4 linked regions of the Sus scrofa genome follow. The protein of the gene in region 1 purifies or fractionates together with the protein of each later gene. This does not show direct contact. Links are inferred from orthologs where the notes say so. Each region holds a gene or a part of one and is shown in the gene's direction. Other genes may lie near its edges.

The links.
Region 2: the proteins of POP7 (region 1) and RPP40 purify together in Homo sapiens (co-immunoprecipitation; 4 studies listed by BioGRID and IntAct, with this or other methods). This does not show direct contact. The link is inferred for Sus scrofa from reciprocal best matches to the Homo sapiens genes POP7 and RPP40.
Region 3: the proteins of POP7 (region 1) and RPP38 purify together in Homo sapiens (co-immunoprecipitation; 3 studies listed by BioGRID and IntAct, with this or other methods). This does not show direct contact. The link is inferred for Sus scrofa from reciprocal best matches to the Homo sapiens genes POP7 and RPP38.
Region 4: the proteins of POP7 (region 1) and RPP30 purify together in Homo sapiens (co-immunoprecipitation; 4 studies listed by BioGRID and IntAct, counting the BioPlex papers as one, with this or other methods). This does not show direct contact. The link is inferred for Sus scrofa from reciprocal best matches to the Homo sapiens genes POP7 and RPP30.

The regions. Positions count from the first base shown.
Region 1 is NC_010445.4:8,605,864-8,610,401, forward strand, and holds POP7 (ribonuclease P protein subunit p20), read left to right. Parts: upstream 1-1,667; 5' UTR 1,668-1,936; intron 1,937-2,183; 5' UTR 2,184-2,589; intron 2,590-2,802; coding exon of another isoform or gene 2,803-2,839; coding exon 2,840-3,262; 3' UTR 3,263-3,528; downstream 3,529-4,538. Other genes in the region: branchpoint-bridging protein-like, read right to left, coding at 2,803-2,841. UniProt on the Homo sapiens protein: Component of ribonuclease P, a ribonucleoprotein complex that generates mature tRNA molecules by cleaving their 5'-ends. Also a component of the MRP ribonuclease complex, which cleaves pre-rRNA sequences.
Region 2 is NC_010449.5:3,002,202-3,007,459, reverse strand, and holds the start of RPP40 (ribonuclease P protein subunit p40), read left to right. Parts: upstream 1-2,160; 5' UTR 2,161-2,217; coding exon 2,218-2,340; intron 2,341-2,727; exon of another isoform or gene 2,728-2,966; intron 2,967-3,888; coding exon 3,889-4,033; intron 4,034-5,203; coding exon 5,204-5,258. UniProt on the Homo sapiens protein: Component of ribonuclease P, a ribonucleoprotein complex that generates mature tRNA molecules by cleaving their 5'-ends. Also a component of the MRP ribonuclease complex, which cleaves pre-rRNA sequences.
Region 3 is NC_010452.4:46,722,554-46,727,546, reverse strand, and holds the start of RPP38 (ribonuclease P protein subunit p38), read left to right. Parts: upstream 1-1,584; 5' UTR 1,585-1,839; intron 1,840-3,076; 5' UTR 3,077-3,181; intron 3,182-4,993. UniProt on the Homo sapiens protein: Component of ribonuclease P, a ribonucleoprotein complex that generates mature tRNA molecules by cleaving their 5'-ends. Also a component of the MRP ribonuclease complex, which cleaves pre-rRNA sequences.
Region 4 is NC_010456.5:102,563,695-102,568,933, forward strand, and holds the start of RPP30 (ribonuclease P protein subunit p30), read left to right. Parts: upstream 1-2,107; 5' UTR 2,108-2,358; coding exon 2,359-2,440; intron 2,441-4,462; coding exon 4,463-4,518; intron 4,519-5,239. UniProt on the Homo sapiens protein: Component of ribonuclease P, a ribonucleoprotein complex that generates mature tRNA molecules by cleaving their 5'-ends. Also a component of the MRP ribonuclease complex, which cleaves pre-rRNA sequences.

The DNA.
Region 1 (4,538 bases):
AAGAGAAAGGTTTCCAGTTTTATACCGTTAAGTATGATGGTTACTGTAGGGTTTCTGTAACCCTTTACCAGGTTGGGGAAGTTCCTTCATTCTTTTTGCTAAGAGCTTTTATCATAAATGGGTTCTAAGTTGTGTTAAATGTTTTTTCTGTATCAATTAATATGATCATATATGGTTTTTTCCTTTAGTTTATTAATATGGTAGATAATACTGATTGGTTTTCTTATATGGAAACAGTCCTGCATCTTTGGAATAAACTCTACTTGGTTGTGGTGTATAATTCTTTTTTTATATACCACTAGATTCAGTTTGCTAAGATTTTGATGAGGATTTTGTTGCATTGTTCATGAGAGATATTGGTCTGTGGTTTTCTACTTTGTATAATCTCTGTCTGGTTTGGGTCTCATAAAATGGACCCTCTTCTATTTTCTGAAAGAGATTGTCTAGAATTTGCGTTTTCTTTCTTTCTTTCTTTTTTTTTTTTTTTTTGGTAGAATTCACCAGTAAAACTATGTGAGCCAAGATATTTCTTTTTATAAAGTTAAAAAAAACCTATGAATTTAATTTCCTTAATAGTTACAGAACTATGCAGATGATCTACTTCATCTTGGGTAAGTTTGGTAGTATGTGGTTTTCTGGGAATTGGTCCATAAATTGTGGAATTTGTCTGTAGCGTGGTCTATATTACTCTAAGTATACTTTAATGTATGAGGGATCTTTAGTGCTATCCTCTCTTTCATTTCTGGTAATCATAACTTGAATCTTCGTTCTCTTGTTCTTTTGTCAGTCTTGCTGGAGGCTTATCCATTTTATTGATCTTTTTCAAAGAACCAGCTTTTGGTTTGAATTTCTTTATTGTTTTCTTGTGTTCAGTTTAACGGAGGTTTTTTGGTTTGCTTTTATTAAAGTATAGTTGATTTACAGTGTTGTGCCAATTTCTGCTTTACATACAGCAAAGTGACCCAATCACACGTATATATACATTCTTTTTCTCATAATTTAATTGGTTTTTGTTCTTTATTGTTTCCTCCCATCTTCTCCCTTTGGCTTTACTTCGCTCTTTTTCTAGTTCCTTGAGGTGGAAGCTTGGATTACACTTCCATTCTTTTAAAAATGTTTCCAGAATACTCCTTGGTTCCCTGAAGAACTCCTGTTTGTCCATCAAAACTCAGCTCATATGTCACTTCTGAGGCAGAATAAAGTGGTAGACAGGCTTTCCTCCTCACCCCCAAATAGCCCCCAAACTTGTAAATATCTGAAGCTAAAAAGAACCACAGGATTTAAATGGTGCTGGGAAAGTTCTCAGGAACCTGACCACTTTACAACCTCCAGTCAAATGGAGTCGGACTCCACCCCAGGCAACAAAAAGCCGTGTAGGGGGCATAAAAATGCCAACTCAAATGTATAGGCTTACAGTTTACCCAAGGTTATATCGGGTTTCGAAACTCAGTGGCAAGAACAGGAATTGTCATCCCTATTTGAGTGATGAGAAAACTCAAGCGAAGAACAGTCAAGGACCCCAGTGCAGCTCTAACTCAGTTTCCAGTGGAACTCCACCAAAGCTAAAGCAACCTGGGCCGAGAACCCCTCCCCACTGGCCTTAGGGAGCCTCCAATCCCTCTGTGCTGCCCTGCCCTTCCCGCCAGGGGGCGCAGGTCCCTGCTCCTGGGTGGCGGGCAGAAGCCAAAGAGCTGGTGGATGACGACTGAGGAGTGCTAGTGGGTCTGCGAGCCACAGGGAAGCTGTAAAGGCTAGCCCCACGGCTCACAACTCGCGTCCCCAGGCGCTGGCCTGGAGGTCACCCTGGTCAGAGAAAGGGGAGAAGAACGGGTCCCCGTAAACTGCAGAGGAGTCCCCGAGCCAAAGAACTTGTCCTCCGCCAAGGGCCGGGCCTTGCTTGCCCCCATCTTCGGGCAGCCGGAATCTTGGACGGGAGGTCAGTTCTGCCACACCTCCTCTGACCCGAGGAACTGCGATGGACCCGGGAGTCCAGACTTCTCTTTAGGCCATTCGCGATCAAGATCAGTGGAATTCGCCGTCCTCCCTCACACCTTTGGAAGACCCTTACCCCTAAATCCTCCACGCCCCTAGAAAACCTCCTCTCTTTTCTCCCCTTCATGACTCCTCCGGGAACCGAGTACTGGGTGGGATTGGCCCAGGGAAGCTAACCTTTCTCTTTCCAGATCCTCCCCGGCTTCGACTTGGTATACGCCCCCTGCCTCTGCAGCTTACAAGTGGTAGATCCCATCACCCCCGGAAGCCTCGCGTTACTCAAACACATCGCGCGGTTTTGCGAGCAACTCAGGAAAGGGGCGGGGAGAACGGATGCCGGGAAGGCGATTCGCGGATCGCCCGGGCCTGGCCACGGGGTATGGGCGCGCCTGCGCACTCGGGGGCCTTTTCAGGAGCCTGGTACTAAGGGCGCCCGTGTTTCGGCGTTCCTGCGGCGAGTCCCTTCCCTTCTCTTCCCTTTTTGGGGCCTGGGAGTTGCGGGCAGCTCCTTCCCTTCAGACTGGTCGGCGCAACGCTCGAGTGGCCTGGCAGGGGAGCGGGCTGCGTGCGCGCTGAGGGCACTGTGGAGCGAAGAAGGTAGGCGTGGGAATAGCTGGGGCGGTGGAGGGGCCTGAGATTGGGAGCGATGTGATGGATGAATGGGAACCGGAGGTGGGGGAGATGCTTGAGCTTGAGGTAAGTGGGAAGGGACTGAGACTTGAAGCGACGAGGGGCGTCGAGTGCGACCCCTCTTGGCTGCACCGTTTGGGCGGGAAACGGGGTAGGAAACGAAACCTGGTCTCTCCTCACCCATGGCTGATCTTTCTCCCACACCAGGGCACACTGCATGGCTGAAAACCGAGAACCCCGCGGGGCCGTCGAGGCCGAGCTGGACCCGGTGGAATACACCCTGCGGAAGCGGCTTCCCCACCGCCTGCCCCGGAGGCCCAATGACATTTATGTCAACATGAAGACTGACTTTAAGGCCCAGTTGGCCCGCTGCCAGAAGCTGCTGGACGGAGGGGTAAGGGGTCAGAATGCATGCACTGAGATCTACATTCATGGCTTGGGCCTGGCCATCAACCGCGCCATCAACATTGCCCTGCAGCTGCAGGCTGGCAGCTTCGGGTCCTTGCAGGTAGCTGCCAATACCTCCACCGTGGAGCTTGTCGATGAGCTGGAACCAGAGACTGATACACGAGAGCCACTGACGCGTATCCGCAACAACTCAGCCATCCACATCCGTGTCTTCAGGGTCACACCTAAGTAAAGGAGATGAGGCCGGCCCACCTTATCCACCCATCCCATACAGCTTGGCTCAGAAGTGGCTTTTGTACTGAGTACATGAACCTCCTACCAGGACCATGTAGGATAAAGCCTATCCCCTCACCATCCAGAGGACTCTGAATTGAGAGGGTGAATATTGTCTTTTGTTGGGCTCAAGCCGTGAGTCTTCCTGAATCTTTGTGGTCTGTAACCATTGTCCTATACAATAAAAAGCATCAAGTTGTGTTAGTGCCTGGCCACCCAACTGCACCACCTCTCTGCTGTGTAAATTCAGTGTGTACCTGGAAAGGAGAGTAGGAGTAAAATTTTACAAGGACGTAGGTACAAGAGGGGAAACAGTGTTTCCTGCCTTCACAGAAAGAGCATAAATTGTACCACAGACACTGCAGCATAAAACAAACTTTAGCACAAAACAGAAGTCTGAAAATCCTGATGTTTGCTTTCAAATATTTCATTCTCTCAGGAGCTCCCACTGTGGTGCAGTGGGATTGGGAGTGCTGGGATGCGGGTTGGATCGCCATCCCCACACACTGGGCTAAGGATCTGATCCTGAGCCCAGGAGCTCTATATGCCTCAGGGCAGCCAAAAAAAAATTTTTTTTTCATCCTCTCAGAAGAAGGCAGGGTGGATAATGTGTATATTCTTGCCAGCTGGGGTGTAAAGCATCAGGCACTACTCTGGTGCTGGTTACCAGGCACAGGAAAGGTGAGGGTATAAGGATGATGGACGCAAAGACAGGCCCCTCCTTTGTAAAAGGCTGTTAAGGCTGTCGTGGGAACCGACAAACTGACAGCTACATTCGATTCCTGGTGGCGGGGGGCAAATTGTTCTAAACAGCTATTCAGACCCCTCTGGCTAGGCTATTCTAAGAGGGAAAGGAAAGCCTTTCCTCTGAATTACTGGGCATACAGGCCATAAGTACTTTTTTGTTTGGATATTTGTAGGAGGATCTGATTTCTCATGTTTATCAAACGAGTCATCTAAAGCAATGTTATCCAAGTGGGTGGTGACCGTTTGTGAGGTTTAAAATCAATTCACTGGGTCATAGCCTTTTAAAAAGCAAGTAAAAAAGAAAAAGTGCAGCTTCAATGGTAATATCTTGTTGACACTGTTTCAGTTGTAGATGTGTATATAGACACATGTACTAGTTATGACATAAATCTTACTGTTGGTTGAGGTCACAAGAGTTTGAAAGCCTTTGATCTAAAGGTTAATAACAGAATTTGCCTCTAGTTTGCCTGAAGGCAGTTTGGTTAGGG
Region 2 (5,258 bases), on another chromosome or scaffold:
TCCACATCCTCTCCAGCATTTCTTATTTGTAGGGCATTTTTAGCTTCTAATCTCAGAAACCCCGATGGCAGTCCATGGCTGGGAGAAGAGCACAGTGCATGAGTCTGGAGCTAGAGCCCATCCTTGCACATGGAATTAGGTTTTGTCTTCTTTTTGTCTTTTCTTTTTTTTATGGCTGCACCTATGGCATATGGAAGTTCCCAGGCTAGGGGTCAAATTAGAGCTGCAGCTGCCGGCCTACCCCACAACCACAGCAACTTGGAATCCTTAACCCACTGAGTGAGGCCAAGGATCGAACCCACATCCTCATGGATACTGGTTGGATTTGTCACTGCTGAGCCACAATGGTAATGCCATAATTTTTTTTCAAAAAAAATTGAAAAAAATTCCAAATATTATGTGCCAAATCTTTGTATTTAGTAAGTTTATTTATTTAGTAAGTTTTTAAGAATAGGATCAGGAATTCCTGTCATGGCTCAGTGGAAACGAATCTGACTAGCATTCATGAGGACGCGGGTTCGATCCCTAGCCTGTCTCCGTGGGTTGAAGGATCAGGTGTTGTTCAATAGTTGTTGAGAAGCAACTGCTATTGAATTGTGTGGTAACCAAGAAGTATTGCTTTAAGTATTTTATATTCTAATACAATATTCATAAGTTACATCTAGATGCCATATTGTGATTTAGGATATTGGTAGTTGTTTGATTGACTTGCTATTCCTTCTTTCTCCTACTTAAAATAATGGAAAATAGGTTTTGCTTAGAGTGCTCTGAGATAATCTGACATTTGAGGCATAGGTCGCTGACATTAATGGCAGAAGATTTTCCAGTCTGTCTTCGTTTTATTATATATATATATATATATATATATATATTTGCTTTTTAGGGCCCCACCCTGGAGGTTCCTAGGCTAGGGGTTGTTGAATCAGAGTTACAGCTGCCGGCCTACGCCACGGCTCGCGGCAACGCAGGACCCTTAACCCACTGAATGAGGCCAGGCATCACACACACATCTTCATGGATACTAGTCGGATTTGTTTCCGCTGAGCCACAACGGGAATTCCGTCTTAGTTTTGGAATTGCAAATACTTACCCCCTAAATCACTTAACTTCTGTCCTTCCAAATCTTTTAGTAAAATTAATGCTCCAGAAAGGTGTATCACAAATACTCTGTTTGCATCCTCTGTGTAGAACTGGGGCTGTGCATCCTCCAGTTTGAAAAGCGTGGAGTAGTACAGTACTTGGAGTTAAGCAGAAAAATTAGATGGAAAAATGAGTTATCACTATAACCTCCAAGAGCAACAAATTATTAAAAGCAGTTCCACATTGCTGTGGCTGTGGTGTAGGCCAGCAGCTACACCTCGGATTTGACCTCTAGCCTGGGAACCTCCATATGCCAGCGGGTGCAGCCCTAAAAACAAAAACAAAGTTGCAAAAGGGGATTCCCGCCTGGAGCAGTGGACTAAGGTCTGAAGTTGTCACTGCAGCGGCTGGGGTCACTGCTGTAGCTCAGGTTCCGTTCACATGCCACATGAGCAGCCAAAAAAAGTTCCAAAAAGATATGTAAAAAAGGATGTTAAAAGTAGTTCTGGGGAGTTCCCATCATGGCGCAGTGGTAACGAATCCGACTAGGAACCATGAGATTTCGGGTTCAATCCCTGACTTTGCTCAGTGGGTTAAGGACCCGGTGTTGCTGTGAGCTGTGGTGTAGGTTGCAGACGCGGCTCGGAACCTGTGTTGCTGTGGCTGTGGTGTAGGCCGACGGCTACAGCTCCGATTGGACCCCTAGCCCGGGAACCTCCTCCATATGCCGCGTGTGCGGCCCAAGAAATAGCAAAAAGACAAAAAAAAAAAAGAAAAATTAACTCGGAAGAAGTCTTAAGGAGTCCTATTGAAGGTACTGAGTACTACCTTTCTACGCAAAAGTTTGTGTAGAACTTGGGAAGGAGCAACCCCAGTCTAGAGAAAGGATTCAGGCAAGAGCATTCATTTCGGGCAGCGCACCTTCCCAGTACCCACCAGCGAGTTTTGCCCTGGGTTCACCGTCAGCCTAGTCCCGCACTCTGCGTCAGCCCCGCCCCTACCCTGGCCGCCTGAACACGTGTGGCCTGCAGGCACTGCGCATGCCCGCGGCGAAGGGGCGGGGCGGGCGAGGAGGGGCGGGGCGGGCGAGGAGGGGCGGGGCTAGCCGAGCCCCGGCAGGGCCCGCGCGGGGAGAGTATGGCCACGCTGTGCAGGCTGCGGGAGGTTCCCCGGCACTTGCTGGTCTGCGAGAAGTCCAACTTCGGCCACGACAAGTCGCGCCACCGGCATATCGTGGAGACGCACTATTACAATTACAGGGTAAGTCTCCGCCCTGAGACCGCGAACCGAGCTCCATAGCGCGGAGGAGAGGGAGGCTTGGGACAGCCGGGCTCTCTTCCTCGGGAGCCCGCCCTCGGCGTGCGGAGGGGCTTGGGCCTCTCCAGGCATGCTGGGAACTGTAGTCTCCTAGCCTGTTCGGGTCTGCGGTTTGCCCCGCTACAGGACTACAACTCCCAGGATGCGCCGGCGCGGGGCGGTGTCCCGCCGTTGGAGGAAGGAGCGGGGCGGCGTGCGGCTGGCCGCTTGTTCCCACCGGGTCGCAGATTGGGCGCGTCCCGGGAGGGGCGGGGCCGGGGGTAGGCGGGCAATGCCCCGCACGTGGTCCGAACCGGACTCGCTCTTCCACAAACCGGTTTCCTTTCCCAGTGCGCCCGCCCGCGGGGGTCTTTCCTGAGCACCGCGCGCCGTCTGGCCGGGAGGCTGCTGGCTGTTCTGATCCGCCCCTCGGCCCTGGTTAGACGTCTGAGACACTGTGCCTTTTGCTTGGTGCCTTCCGCGATGTCCCACGGAAGCGAACCTTCTCGCCATCTCTTTGGCAGAAAGGCGCCGAGGTGGCCCTGCTCGCGAGCACGTAAGAGCGATGTTCGCTGTTGCCTCGTGAAAAGGTCAAGCTCACGGGGCGCCTTTTTCGTGGGTGCGGCGGGCGAGGCACCAGGGAGGTTAATTATTGGTTTATCCAGCATCTGCTGAGAGTAGAAAACTTCTGTAGCTCCCAGGCAAGTGTCTGGTGGGCCAGCTTCACCAACCCATTTAAGTGGAGGGGGCTTCAAAAAACCTTAAAATGAAAATGGCTTAAGCCTTTTATACTTTAAATCGATGAGCCTAATTTCAACTCGGGCCTGACCGGCCCCATCCTCAGACACAAGTGGTGACGCTGGTTCCTCTGGGCCAGACTGGTGTCCCAGCTTTGGGTGCGTGGTTTTTCAGGGTGTGGAGCACTTGGGCAGCATTTGAAATCTTTCAGGTTGAGTATCTCTGCTTTGGATGGAGAGCTCGTCACAGGCAGCCTGGGATGTGTTCCTTACCTCCCCGGTCTCATCTGTAGAGTTTTTCTACCTGAAAAGTGGAAACATCCAGCAGACTTCTGCTTCTTTGAAGCCTCATAATAATTGGCGTCCCTAAATTCCTTATGCCCTAAGGGACAGTTCCTTTGGTTCCAGCCTGGTACCAGGTGTAGGGATATTCCGCTGTCCGCTACGCAGATCTGGGGATGTGCACTTGTACCATATTTTCCTAAAAGTTAATTCATGTAGTGAAAGGAACAGGACCGAAAATACATCGTTCATTTGCAGAACATAAGACAAAAGCCAGAGCTTTCCATTAAAATTGTTTTGCTCATCAATACAGAAATGAAAAAACCTGGGTGTTGATCTATACGAAAGTCAAACTTGTTTAAACTGTGTCGTGGACTAAAATCTACAAAAACACGCACGCACTCTGCTCTACATGTGAAACGAACACAATGCTATAAGTCCACTATACTTCAGCTTTTAAAAATAAGCCTTGTTATATTCTGCCTACCAATAGGTTTCCTTTCTGATTCCTGAATGTGGGATACTCTCAAAAGAACTGAAAGACCTGGTCATGGCGTTTGGACCTTATTACTCTGTGAAGGATTTACCTCTTCATGAATTAATCACCCACGAATTCATTAATACTTTTGTAAAGAAAGGTAAGAAAAGCCGTGTAGTGTCTGTGAATGTGGTGAGATGACATCCAGGGGGAGGGCACCAAAGTACTAGAGTTCTTCTTGTTTTTTTATTTATTTGTTTCTTTAGGGCTTTTTTTTTTTAGGGCCACAACCAGGGCATATGGAGGTTGCCAGGCTAGGGGTTGAATTGGAGCTATAGCTGCCGGCCTACACCACCGCCACAGCAACGCCAGGTCCTTAACCCACTGAGCGGGGCCAGGGATGCAGCCCAAATCCTCATGGATACTAACGGCTGAGTCATGTTCTTAAGTGCTGAGCCCTGACGGGAACTCATTTATTTATTTATTTGGCCATGCCCTCGGCGTGTAGAAGTTCCCAGGCCAGCGATTAAACCCAAGTCACAGCAGCGACCTGAGCCACTGCAGCGACAACACTAGATCCTTAACCTGCTGAACTGCACGGGAGCTGCCGCTTCTCCTGTTTGAGTAGGGCTGGCAGAGACCGTCTGTGTGGTCCCTTCATCTCCCAGTGTGTGCGCTCATTAGATGGTGGTTTCTGCTTTTTTTGTGGCGGGGGCCACACCTGCGGCATATGGAAGTTCCCAGCCTGGGGGTTGAATCGGAGCTACAGCTGCTGGCCTACACCACAGCCACAGCAACGCGGGATCCAAGCTACGTCTGTGACAGACCACAGCTCACGGCAAAATGCCAGATCCTTAACCCACTGAGCGAGGCCAGGCATTGAACCTGTCTCCTCCTGGAGGCGCGTCAGAGTCCTTCCTGCTGAGCCACGACAGGAACTCCTGAGTAGCTTTCTTGACTTGAACGCAAGTTCCTGGCGCAGTTGAGTCTTCACCTGGCCTCTCCCTCTCAGGTGTGCACAGTCACCTACCCGCTCACCTCCTGCCTCTCTGCCAGCATCCCCAAGGGTACGCACTCCATCCTGAGTCCATTTTCTGTGCGATGGTAGAGTCCGCGGGCACCAGCAGGCCCCGGGCGCCGACGTGGACGAGCCATGCTTGGCCTTCGTGTCCTCCAGCTTTGCTTTGTCGGGTCGGAGGGCCCCTGAGGGAGCTGGAGCTGGAGCAGTGACCCGGAAGATGGTGTCATCACGTGAAAATACTCCAGCAGCCTTTGCAGGAGTGGCCTTTTTTTTCTCGCCTTCGTTCTCCTCTGGGCTTTTCGTTTCCAGGTTCGTGCTCTGCCCTAACGTACAACGCGAACATCGACGAGGATAACGCTGCCGC
Region 3 (4,993 bases), on another chromosome or scaffold:
TAAATCTGAGATGTTAGGGGGACAAAACCTCATACATAATTCCTTCCCTTTAGCATTTTAATCAGACGTGCATTTCTATTTGTCTTACATCTTAAAAGCTAAATTTGACACTATTTTTAATTTTATTTTTTAGATATTAAAATATTAGATTATTTTAAAAATGTCATGCCTATTTCATTTTTAAAAACCTTTTTAAAAACCTTCCACTCTGATTCAATGATTTCTCATCTTTTTATCCAATTTCTGAGAGCTTTAAAAACTTGTATTTGGTGGCATCACTTAGAATGTGATTTACACTCAACATTACTTCATCTTTGAAATGATACTTTTATCATTCTTGAATCACTGTGGCTTCATTGAAGGTTTGAGAGACACTCTGTAGGACTAAGTCATTACCCTGTAATTTGACAGTAGATGAAGTATCACCTTTTCATTACTTTGAAAAAAAAATGACCTTGCAATTGATTCTTACATTTAACATTTAAATATCAGTTCTGCCACCATTAAATTTAACTGCATTGACCACATAAGAAGCCAGAAAAATCACTGGGTCACAGGTTAATCTAATTCAATTTAAAGCCAACAAAGGATAACTATAATTAGTAATTTACCAATTCAAGGGCCAGAGTTGTTACATTCAAAACTGGTTGATTTGGGAGTAATTAGCCTTAAATTTTAAAACATTATTCTGGTTGCAGAAGCTCTTTCAGGAGCTTATTAATATTTTTAACAGACTGGATGATTCATGAAGTCTAAGCTATTACCTAACACAGCCAAAACTGTTGCACTTACTGTCTGAGTCTGTAAATTGATCTTATTTTACTTGACCTGCCTTAGGGTATAGGCTCACAGCCTTTTTTTTATCAGTGGTAGTATACATGCTAGTTAGTCCCCAACAAAGATTTTGAGTATTACATTAAAAAATAAAAACAAAACAAAAAAAAACACAAGATACAAACTTCTTGCCTTCCAAAGCCCAACACCTCCATCTCGTTTCTGATGAATAAGGAGACTGGCAGGGTACAAACAGAGCAGAGCCGAATTAGGACAGTCAGTGACATTTCAAGAAAAGAATTCTGCTGGACCATGAGGACTTGCTGCCCCAAACTGAGACTAATTTAGAACTGCCTGTTTGCAGTGCATCAGCATTATTTGTTACTATTCATTTTATGAAACAAAAGTTGTTACAAATTCGTTGTAAATTCATTCTTTTAAATCTGATTGTAATAAAAATTTAAAAATCACAGGCGTTTCACTCCTGGCGCAGCAGTTAACTGCCGGACTTGTGACGGCACCTCCCCATCCCCTATTTATCTTGATTTCCACGTTGCTAGGGATTCGGCAGGGACTCAGTGACAGAGGCACTGCGTCAGGGTTTTGCGACCCTCAGGTAAGTTAAAAACTAAAGCGAGAAGAGCTCAGATCCCCAGGCGCAGAAAGGAGGACACTGGAAGAGTGTTGCGTTACAAAGTAGAAAACCATCCTCTCGGAGTCTAATGGCGAAGGGACTGGCGCTCACATCCAGCCGCACACCCCGCAAGCGGCCGGTTACCAGGCAACCAGAGCTCTCGCGAGACACACCCTGCACCTGCGCACTGCCTCTGGATGGCCTTTTCCGGATCCTCACCCCAGCTCAAGGCAGTTTCTAGAGATCGAACCTTTCCCTTTTTCTAGCCTTTTTGAGAAATGGCGTTTGGGACTAGCCCGGCGCAGAAGGAAGAAGAGTGAGGTCCCCCGAGTGGTCCACATCACCCCAGCGCGTCGAAAGGCGGGGCCGGAGAAGGCGCAGGTTCTGCGCGCGCGCAGAGCGGCCCACGTGGAGCTGGCGCAGAGGCCACCGTGAGTGGGGCTCGGGCGGGGGTCTGACGTTCCGAGCGGCCGCCAGGGGAGGGATCCGTCCTGGGGCTTTGCCGGGTGCGCGCCGTCTCCCCCGCTCCCCGACTCTGAGGGCGCACGCACCCGGGACCACAGTGTTTTCCGGTGTCCTGGCTTTGGCCGCTAGTCTGCTCTCCGCCGGGAGCTGAGCACTGTTGGGTACGAGAAATAACGCCCACCCTGGTCCCTCTGTACTACTCAGTCTGGAAGTGGAGGCGGACAAGAAAATAATTCTAGTCTCGTGTGCTAAACCGTAAAGTCGGTAGGCACTAGAGAGGCAGCAGACATTAGGAGGGATCAACACTGGGAATTGGCCCTGTCATCCCCTCGGCTGCCGGACCCCGAAACTCGAGACCCCTCTCTTGAGTTCTTTCTCTGTTTTACTCCCAGTTGATCGCTAAGTCGGGCGGATTGCACCCCTTCTGTTCATCCCTCTGCGGCGTCTCTAGTGCCGCAGTCATTTCTTTACGGTTTGGTCCTTGGCAAAGGCCTCCTCCTGGTCCAAGTTCACACAGCTCTTTCCCTGAGGCCTTTCTAACTACATCGCTCATCTTGCTTTGAACGTTCCCACTGCCGCTTCCCGCTGCAAGGTTTGCAAGTCTTCCTCACCATCTCACCCGCTCTAGCATCTCTGCTCCGGCGATATTGACATTCTTTCTTTTAACGCAATTTCCTGGGATACCCTTTCTGATAGCCCTTTGGTAGGTATTCTTCAGATGCAGGTTAAAGGGACACTTCCTCCAGGAGGCCTTTCCTGACCTTCTCAACAGAGTCAGATCTCTGCTCTACATCTCGTAGTTTCCGTACCTTGATTTGCATCGCATGTTATTTTATTACTCGCTGATAAATCTTCCTCATAGGTTCTGAGCCCAGTGGATCCAGTGGCTGTTTTGCTTTCATTTGTAATCTTTCTGGCTTGCTGGCATTGTGGGAAATGCGCAGATACTTGCTCTAGTAAGAAATATGGTGTTGTTGGGGCTGATGGTAGGAGTAGTTTTCCAGGCAGAGGGAATATGTATAAAGCCCTGGAGGGAGGAACTGGTCATCTCTTGAAACAATATGTGGGGCATGAGGAGAAAGATGATGGGGGGATGCGCCAGAGTGTGGACTGACTTGGCTGTCACCTTAATGAGTTCACACTTGATGCTACAGGCCTGAGGCCTCCATTTTCTTTCAAATCCTGTTACTTCTTCCACTTTAGTTTTGGATTCTGTTCCATGAGACTCATCTGAACGGAACCCCTTGGTCCTTGTCTCCCTGTCTAGATTCTGAAGCCAGGAGGAGCTGATGCACAGAGCACGTACCTGTAAGTATTTCCTCCGTGTTGTCTGGATGCTGAGGCACGTGAACTGTGGTTTGCAGTCTGGCAGGACCTCTGTCAGATCATTGTATTCGTTCCTGAGTCATTTATTTCCCTCCTCTGACCACCTTCGGGTTGGCACTGGCCTCTGCCAATCCCGTCATGGGGCGTGACTGCACTGGAGGGGAGTGTGGGGATGATGGGTGGGGAGGGCTGCGCCCTGGGGCAGGGTGGAGGAAGCAGCTTCAGAGGCCCAAACCGCCTTTCTAGCCGTGGGCACCACTGATACCAACACCAAGGTCTGGGCTCTCTCCCCTAGGGAGCTGAATTTTGATTTTCTGTGAGAAGGTGACGTAGAAGGAACACCAAGGCCAGCAGAGGTCAGGGGACCATTTCTCAGGCTGCCCGGTGTGGAAAGGCCCCCGTCCTACACCGGCGTTCTCAAGCCCCATTCTCTATCAGATTCCCGGCAGCCTTTTTTCCAAGTACAGGTGCCGTGCCATGTCCTCAGGGATTCCGATTCAGTAGACCTTGAGAGGACCAGCCGTCCACATGTTTTACCAAAAAGTCACAGATTAGGGAGTTCCTGTTGTGGTTCAGCGGATTAAGAACTATGACTATTATCCATGAGGATGAGGGTTTGATCCCTGGCCTCCCTCAGTGGGTTAAGGATCCGGGGTTGCTGTGGGCTGTGGTGCAGGCTGGCAGCTGCAGCTCTGATTCACCCCCTAGCCTGGGCACTTTCATATGCTGTAGGTGCGGCCCTAAAAAGACAAAGAAAAAGTCACAGATTATTTCTGAGGTGCAGCCAGGATTGAGAGAGCATTAAAATTGGATTTGGGAAAACCAGGTGTGACTCGGGCAAGGTACTTACTTAACCTGAGCCCTTCTCCTCCTCCACACGCTAGGCAGTTAAACTGGTGCTTTGTGAGCATCTGATAATTCACAGAGAAATTGTTCACACATTCTGACTACCCCACGGAAATACCTGCCCTTCAGCAACAGCATCAGTGACTGGGCTTCTGGGTGGAAGTTTACTTGGAGGGGACTTAACTGCTAATCCTGCAGGGGGCGCTCTGCGGAGGGCGGGTGTCCATGGGATGAAAAGATCTACAATGAGGGCGTATCTGGAATGAGAAAATCTGGTTACCTGAGAACAGGGACGAACAGGGACACCACCCAGCTCCAGACTTCTCCAGAGCTGGCTAGTTGAACTTCCTTCAGTTTTGCAACATGGGTCCCTGTGGTTCCCAGCTGAGCCCAGGAAGGAAGTGAGGAAGAAAACAAGGGAAGAGCCATATGCAGTTTCCTCTGGGCAGGATGACCAGGACATGTGCTCCAGAGCAGTGGTGGATAACATTTCACCAGTAAGGACCCCCTCTTACTGTTTTGCCTTAATGGATTAATATCTTTAACTTCCATTACAAATTTCCCTCGTTTTCATCACAGAGTCAGCCAGAGGAATGTAGGAAGGGGGCAACTGTGTACTGATGTTTTAGGAAAGATGCACAAGAAACTCAGGGTCCAGGGAGGGAGGGAGGGAGGCTTACGAAAGGGCACAGAATGAAAGCATCATTGTCACGTGCATACTCTGCTGTTCCAGTTCTTAGAAAATCACACCAGGTTACTTAGGAATGGCAGAGGCTTCTGGGGCCCTCACAGATTGTACCTGGGGCCTTGTTGAAGGCAGAACCCCAGCGCCTAATCCGACTCTGGTGGAGATGCTCAGTGCCTACTGGCTGAATGGATGGACGGAAGCCTCCCTAGAGAGCAATTTAGAAAATGGTAACAGATCTATCAGACTAATACTACAGGCCC
Region 4 (5,239 bases), on another chromosome or scaffold:
GTCCTATTATGTTCCAGTCAGAAATTTTTCAGTCTTCTTCTAACTCCAGATCCTTGCTGTTGCAGCTACCTATCCAAGTCAACTTTTTTTTTTTTGGTCTTTTTGCTATTTATTGGGCAGCTCCCGTGGCATATGGAGGTTCCCAGGCTAGGCGTCGAATTGGAGCTGTAGCCGCCAGCCTACGCCAGAGCCACAGCAATGCCAGATCCGAGCCGCGTCTGCAATCTACACCACAGCTCAAGGCAACGCTGGATCCTTAACCCACTGAGCAAGGGCAGGGACGGAACACGCGACCTCATGGTTCCTAGTCGGATTCATTCACCACTGCGCCACGACTGGAACTCCCCAAGTCAACTTCTGGCTCCTCTTCCCTTCTCATCTCCCCTATGGCATTCTCTTTTTTCTCTCTTCCCACTCCTCCTTCCCTCTTCTATCTCCTTCCTTTCCTTTCCCTCTCTCCCTACTTCCTCTGTCCTCCCCCTCCATTCATTCTCCCCCCACCCCCGCCCTTCATTCTCCTCTTCCTTTCCCCTGTCTTTACTCCCTCCTCTTTTCCATCCTCCAACTCTCCTCTCTGCTTGCTTTGTCCAGGAGACAGTACATAGAGACATGAGAATAGATCCAAGCCACCTGGATCCACCTGTGGTCCTACCACAATGACCTAAGCCTCAGATGATTCAAATGTAAAATGCAGAGGTTGTGGAAAAAGCAGCACTTAACTCAGTTGTTTTGAAAATTAAACATGCAGGCAACTACTTAGCAAATAGGCTGGCCCTCAGTAGACTGCTCAGTGACTGTCGTTCATTCATTTTCTTTTTCGTCCTTCTTCCTCCCTTCTAAGCCCAGGGTGAAGATAAGAAGTTTAAAGGGTATACAGTCCACAGAAACAGCGTCATGACTTTCAAAGAAAGAAGCCCTCTGTAGTCTAATTCTGGTATCAAATAATGAGTCATCTTATTCACCTTCACCACACATCGGACATATTTCCAAACAATTTAGGTTTTGTGGCTGCAGATGAAGACGCCTATAAAATTAACACTAGATCTTCCTGCAAAATTAACACGAGATTTTCAGATGAGAAGCCAGAGTTTGTTTTATATGACTTTCTTCTATTTGCAGAAGTAAAATTTTCTTCTGTTCTTACTTAGAAAACATCAAATATTAGATAGCAGAAGATTTCTTTTTTATTGAACTTAACCAAAAGGAGAATTACATACTACCACATGGAACAGATCCCTCTTAAAATTCCCTTCTGAGACCAAGAAAGAAGTCATGTAAAGAACAAATCAAGATGTGGCCCACAAACCCGAGACTCTGTGTACTGTCTGTGACAAGTTAGCAAAGAAACGGAAAATGTTTACAAACTTTCACATCCCTTTGGCATAGTCTGGAGATCCAAGCCCCTGATTTGTGGACTCTTATTCAGTCTAGTATAGAGCAGTTCAGATGTTAGATTAATCTTTTGAGGCCAGAGCTGCCTGTGGGTAAAGGACAATGGATCACTACTGGTGCTAGAAGAACTGGTGGAGGGAGGGGGGTTGGGAACTCGGTGAACTGACCCAGTAATCACGGGTACTTTGTAAAGCAGTGATGTAAACTCTAGTTCCAGAGTTTTATGTTCTCGGATAATTAATTTATCACTCTTCAAGAGTTCATGTGTACGAAAATGTGGAACCATCACAACTGTGGGATATATTCCACCTTGTACATCTGTCAGACGGAAAACTGTAAAACATTTCAATTGTGCACCTCCCTTGTCTAACCCATTTTTGGCTAAACACGTGCTGAAGCTAACCGCTTATCCCTGCCAACTCCAGGTTGAGAATACTGGCTGTAATGGAGTTTAGCATGCTGTGCCACCGTCTGTTCTGATTGAGCAAAATGACTTTTTTCTCGAGCAAACCTTTTTCGAGTTGTCAGGTCAGTTTCCCCATCTCCCCATTAAGTCCAATTTAAACAATGGAATGACCTTTAGGGGCGGGAAAGAAAAACGGATTTAAAACCCTTACTTTTTAAGGGTTTCCAGACCTTCTTTCCCTGTAAGTCCTCAATAAATGCTGTATACGTACATTTTGAAAGAATCATTTTCTACATTATTTCACAGGAGGAATGGTGGGCTATGTGAACCCCTTCGAGGGAAACAAAACTTTCCCATCCAGAGGAAGAAGAACTGAAGTGAGGCTGCTGACTTCCACACACTAACTTCTGCTGGGATCCGAAGGCGCTCAAAGAGCCTGGGAACGTCAGTCCGCGGGAGGGACGGGAGGACTGCTTAGGAAAACTGCAATTCCCAGCGTGCCCCGAGGGGGCGGGCCCTGCGGCTGCGCAGACAGCCGCGCAAGTTCACGTGATTTCAGCATGGCGGTGTTCGTGGATTTGGACCTGCGAGCGGGTTCCGACCTCAAGGCGCTGCGTGGGCTCGTGGAGAACGCCGCTTACCGTGAGTCGCCGCGGCTTCGCGAGCAGCGGTGCCTGCCCAGCCTCGCTGCCATCCAGATCGTCGGGCCACGTTCGGAAGGGACGCGGCCGGGCCTCATTCAGGTCTTCTGGGGTCTGGAGGCAGTCTCTGGAAGCTGATGCCTTCTGCGGGGTTGCTGTGATCCCGGGCCCGGGAAACTCGAAAAGCGCTGGGGAACTGTTACCCAGTCCAGCTCCTTCTTTATTGTGAATTGGGGAACTGAGGTCCTAACAGGGCCAGGGACTTATATAGGGCCTCACAGCTGAAGGCTGGCCAAAGCTAGTCTCCACCTGTGCTTTTAATATCGCCCCTTCCTACCTCTCACCACTGTGTACTGACTCAGTCAAATGCGGAAAGCTGGTTGGTGCACAGATGGGGAGTGCTTTGGGTGCTCCGAAAATGGGCGGGGGTGGTGGGACGTGGGGCTGCGAGTGTTGGAATAATGTTATTTAGAGGGAGGGTAGGTTGAGGCGTAGGACACACCAAGAGGTTGGGAAGGGACCAGCATGGCCAGAATGCTAGAATGTTACTCGTATTTGAATCCAAGGAAAGCAGAAGCCCTGAGAGGTAAGATCGTTCTAATCGAAGTTAATCGCGACTTCTGCCTTCTTCCTTAGACTTAAAGTGTCTAAGTGGAGATAGAGGGGTTTAAAAATAAAGACATTTCTTCGAAGTTCCCGGTTGTGGTTCAGCGGTAACAACCTAACTCGTATCCATGAAGATGTGGGTTCTACCCCTGGCTTCTGTCAGCGGGTTAAGGATCCGTCGTTGGGGTGAGCGTCGGTGTACAGATGCGGCTTGAAGTCCGTGTTGCTGTGGCTGTGGTGTAGGCTGGCAGCTATAGCTCTGATTCGACCCCTAGCCTGCGAACTTCCATATGCCACAGGTACGGCCCTAAAAAGCAAAAAAAAAAAAAAAGAGAGAGAGAGAGAGATATCTGCAGGGCCTATCAAGTAATGGATCCTCATTTGAAGGAGGAAAGAAAGAAGGAAATTGGAAAAACTATTGAGAGGGAAGACCACTATCTTGGCATTAATATATGTTATTTATTTATTTAGTCCTTTTAGGGCCGTACCCTTAGGGTATGGAAGTTCCCTGGTTAGGGGTTGAAGCTGCAGCTGCCCACCTATGCCACAGCAACATGGAATCCTGGTGGAGGCTTGAACCTACACCACAGCTCGTGGCAACACTGGATTCTTAATCCACTAAATGAGGCTAGGGATCAGACCTGCAGCTTTTTGGATACTAGTCAGGTTCATTACTGCTGAGCCACAACAGGAACTCCGATATGCATTATTTCTTTAATATTAATATCCTGTCCTCCCCATTGGTGTTTAACTCAACGTTTTAAGTCATGATTTAGATGTATTTTTGGTAGTCCATATGTCCAAAAACAGTGCTGTGTTGAGGCTGATAAACTAGGCTCTGACTTCAGAGAGTTCCCAATCTCTTGTTGGTGGGCAACTCAAAAGGGGATGGGGACAGTGGCATGTAAGGGAGTCCTTATTCCATTTCTCCTTAGCACAGGGGCCTCTGAAAAAGCAGAAGGGGTAAAGAGCAAACAAAATGAGTAAGAATGAAGATAACAGTGAAAAAATATAATTTGATGGGATGAAAATGAAAAAAGGCCTGAAAGAGAATGATGGTTGAAAGGAGATGCACAAAGTTAAGGGTCTTCTGTGTCTTGCTAATAATACATCACCCAGGTCAAACAAAACCCTAACTCTGTGCCAGCCACCATTTTTAAACATGCTATGTGTGTTATCTCATTTAGTTCTCATGACAGTTATATGGGGTAAATTCTGTTATTAACACCATATGATAGATGAAGAAGCTGAAACTTAAAGTAACTTAAGATTTGAAAACTGGCAGTCTGACTCCAGAGCCTGTCCCATAACCATTCTTCTAACTATCTTCTAGTCTTGATATGAATTGGGATGAGCCTATGTGTACAGGGAAGAGAGGTTATTGTATTTAATAAGAATGTTCAATTTTTCTTTTCAGTGGGCTATTCAGTTGTTGCCATCAATCATGTTGTTGAATTTAAGGAAAAGAAACAGGTAAAATACAATTTCTGAAGTTAATAATAACTAGCATTTATAATTATTTGTGTGTATATTTGTAATATAGAAGCTGCAGATGAGCATATTTGTTAAGTTCACTCTTTGTACACTGTCTTTTTTTATTTTTTGTTTATTTTTTTATTTTACCCTTTTTTTTTTTTTTTTTTTAGGGCAGCACCGACGGCGTATGGAAGTTCTCAGGCTAGGGGATGGATCAGAGCTGAAGCTGCCAGCCTATACCACAACCATAGCAACGCCAGGTCCAAGCTGCGTCTGCCACCTTTGCTGCAGCTCATGGCAGTGCCGGATCCTTAACTCGCTGAGCAGGGCCAAGGATCAAACCCACGTCCTCATGGATATTAGTTGACGCACAACAGGAACTCCTTTTTTTTTTTTTTTTTTTTTTTTTTTTTTTTTTGTTAAGTTCTGCATCTGCGGCATATGGAAGTTCCCAGGCCAGGGATTGAGTCTGAGCCATAGCTGCAACCTGCACCGCAGATATGGCAAGGCATGATGCATCAACCCTCTGCACTGGCCTGGGGATTGAACACATACCTCTGCAGCGACCTAAGCTGCTGCAGTCAGAATCTTAACTCACTGTGCCACAACAGGAACTTCTGCACTGTCTTATATGTTAACAGTTGAGCTGATGAATATTTGTGCAAATGATAAGGTTTTTAGTGAAGTGCTAGGGCATGGTATAAGGATTCTTATAGTT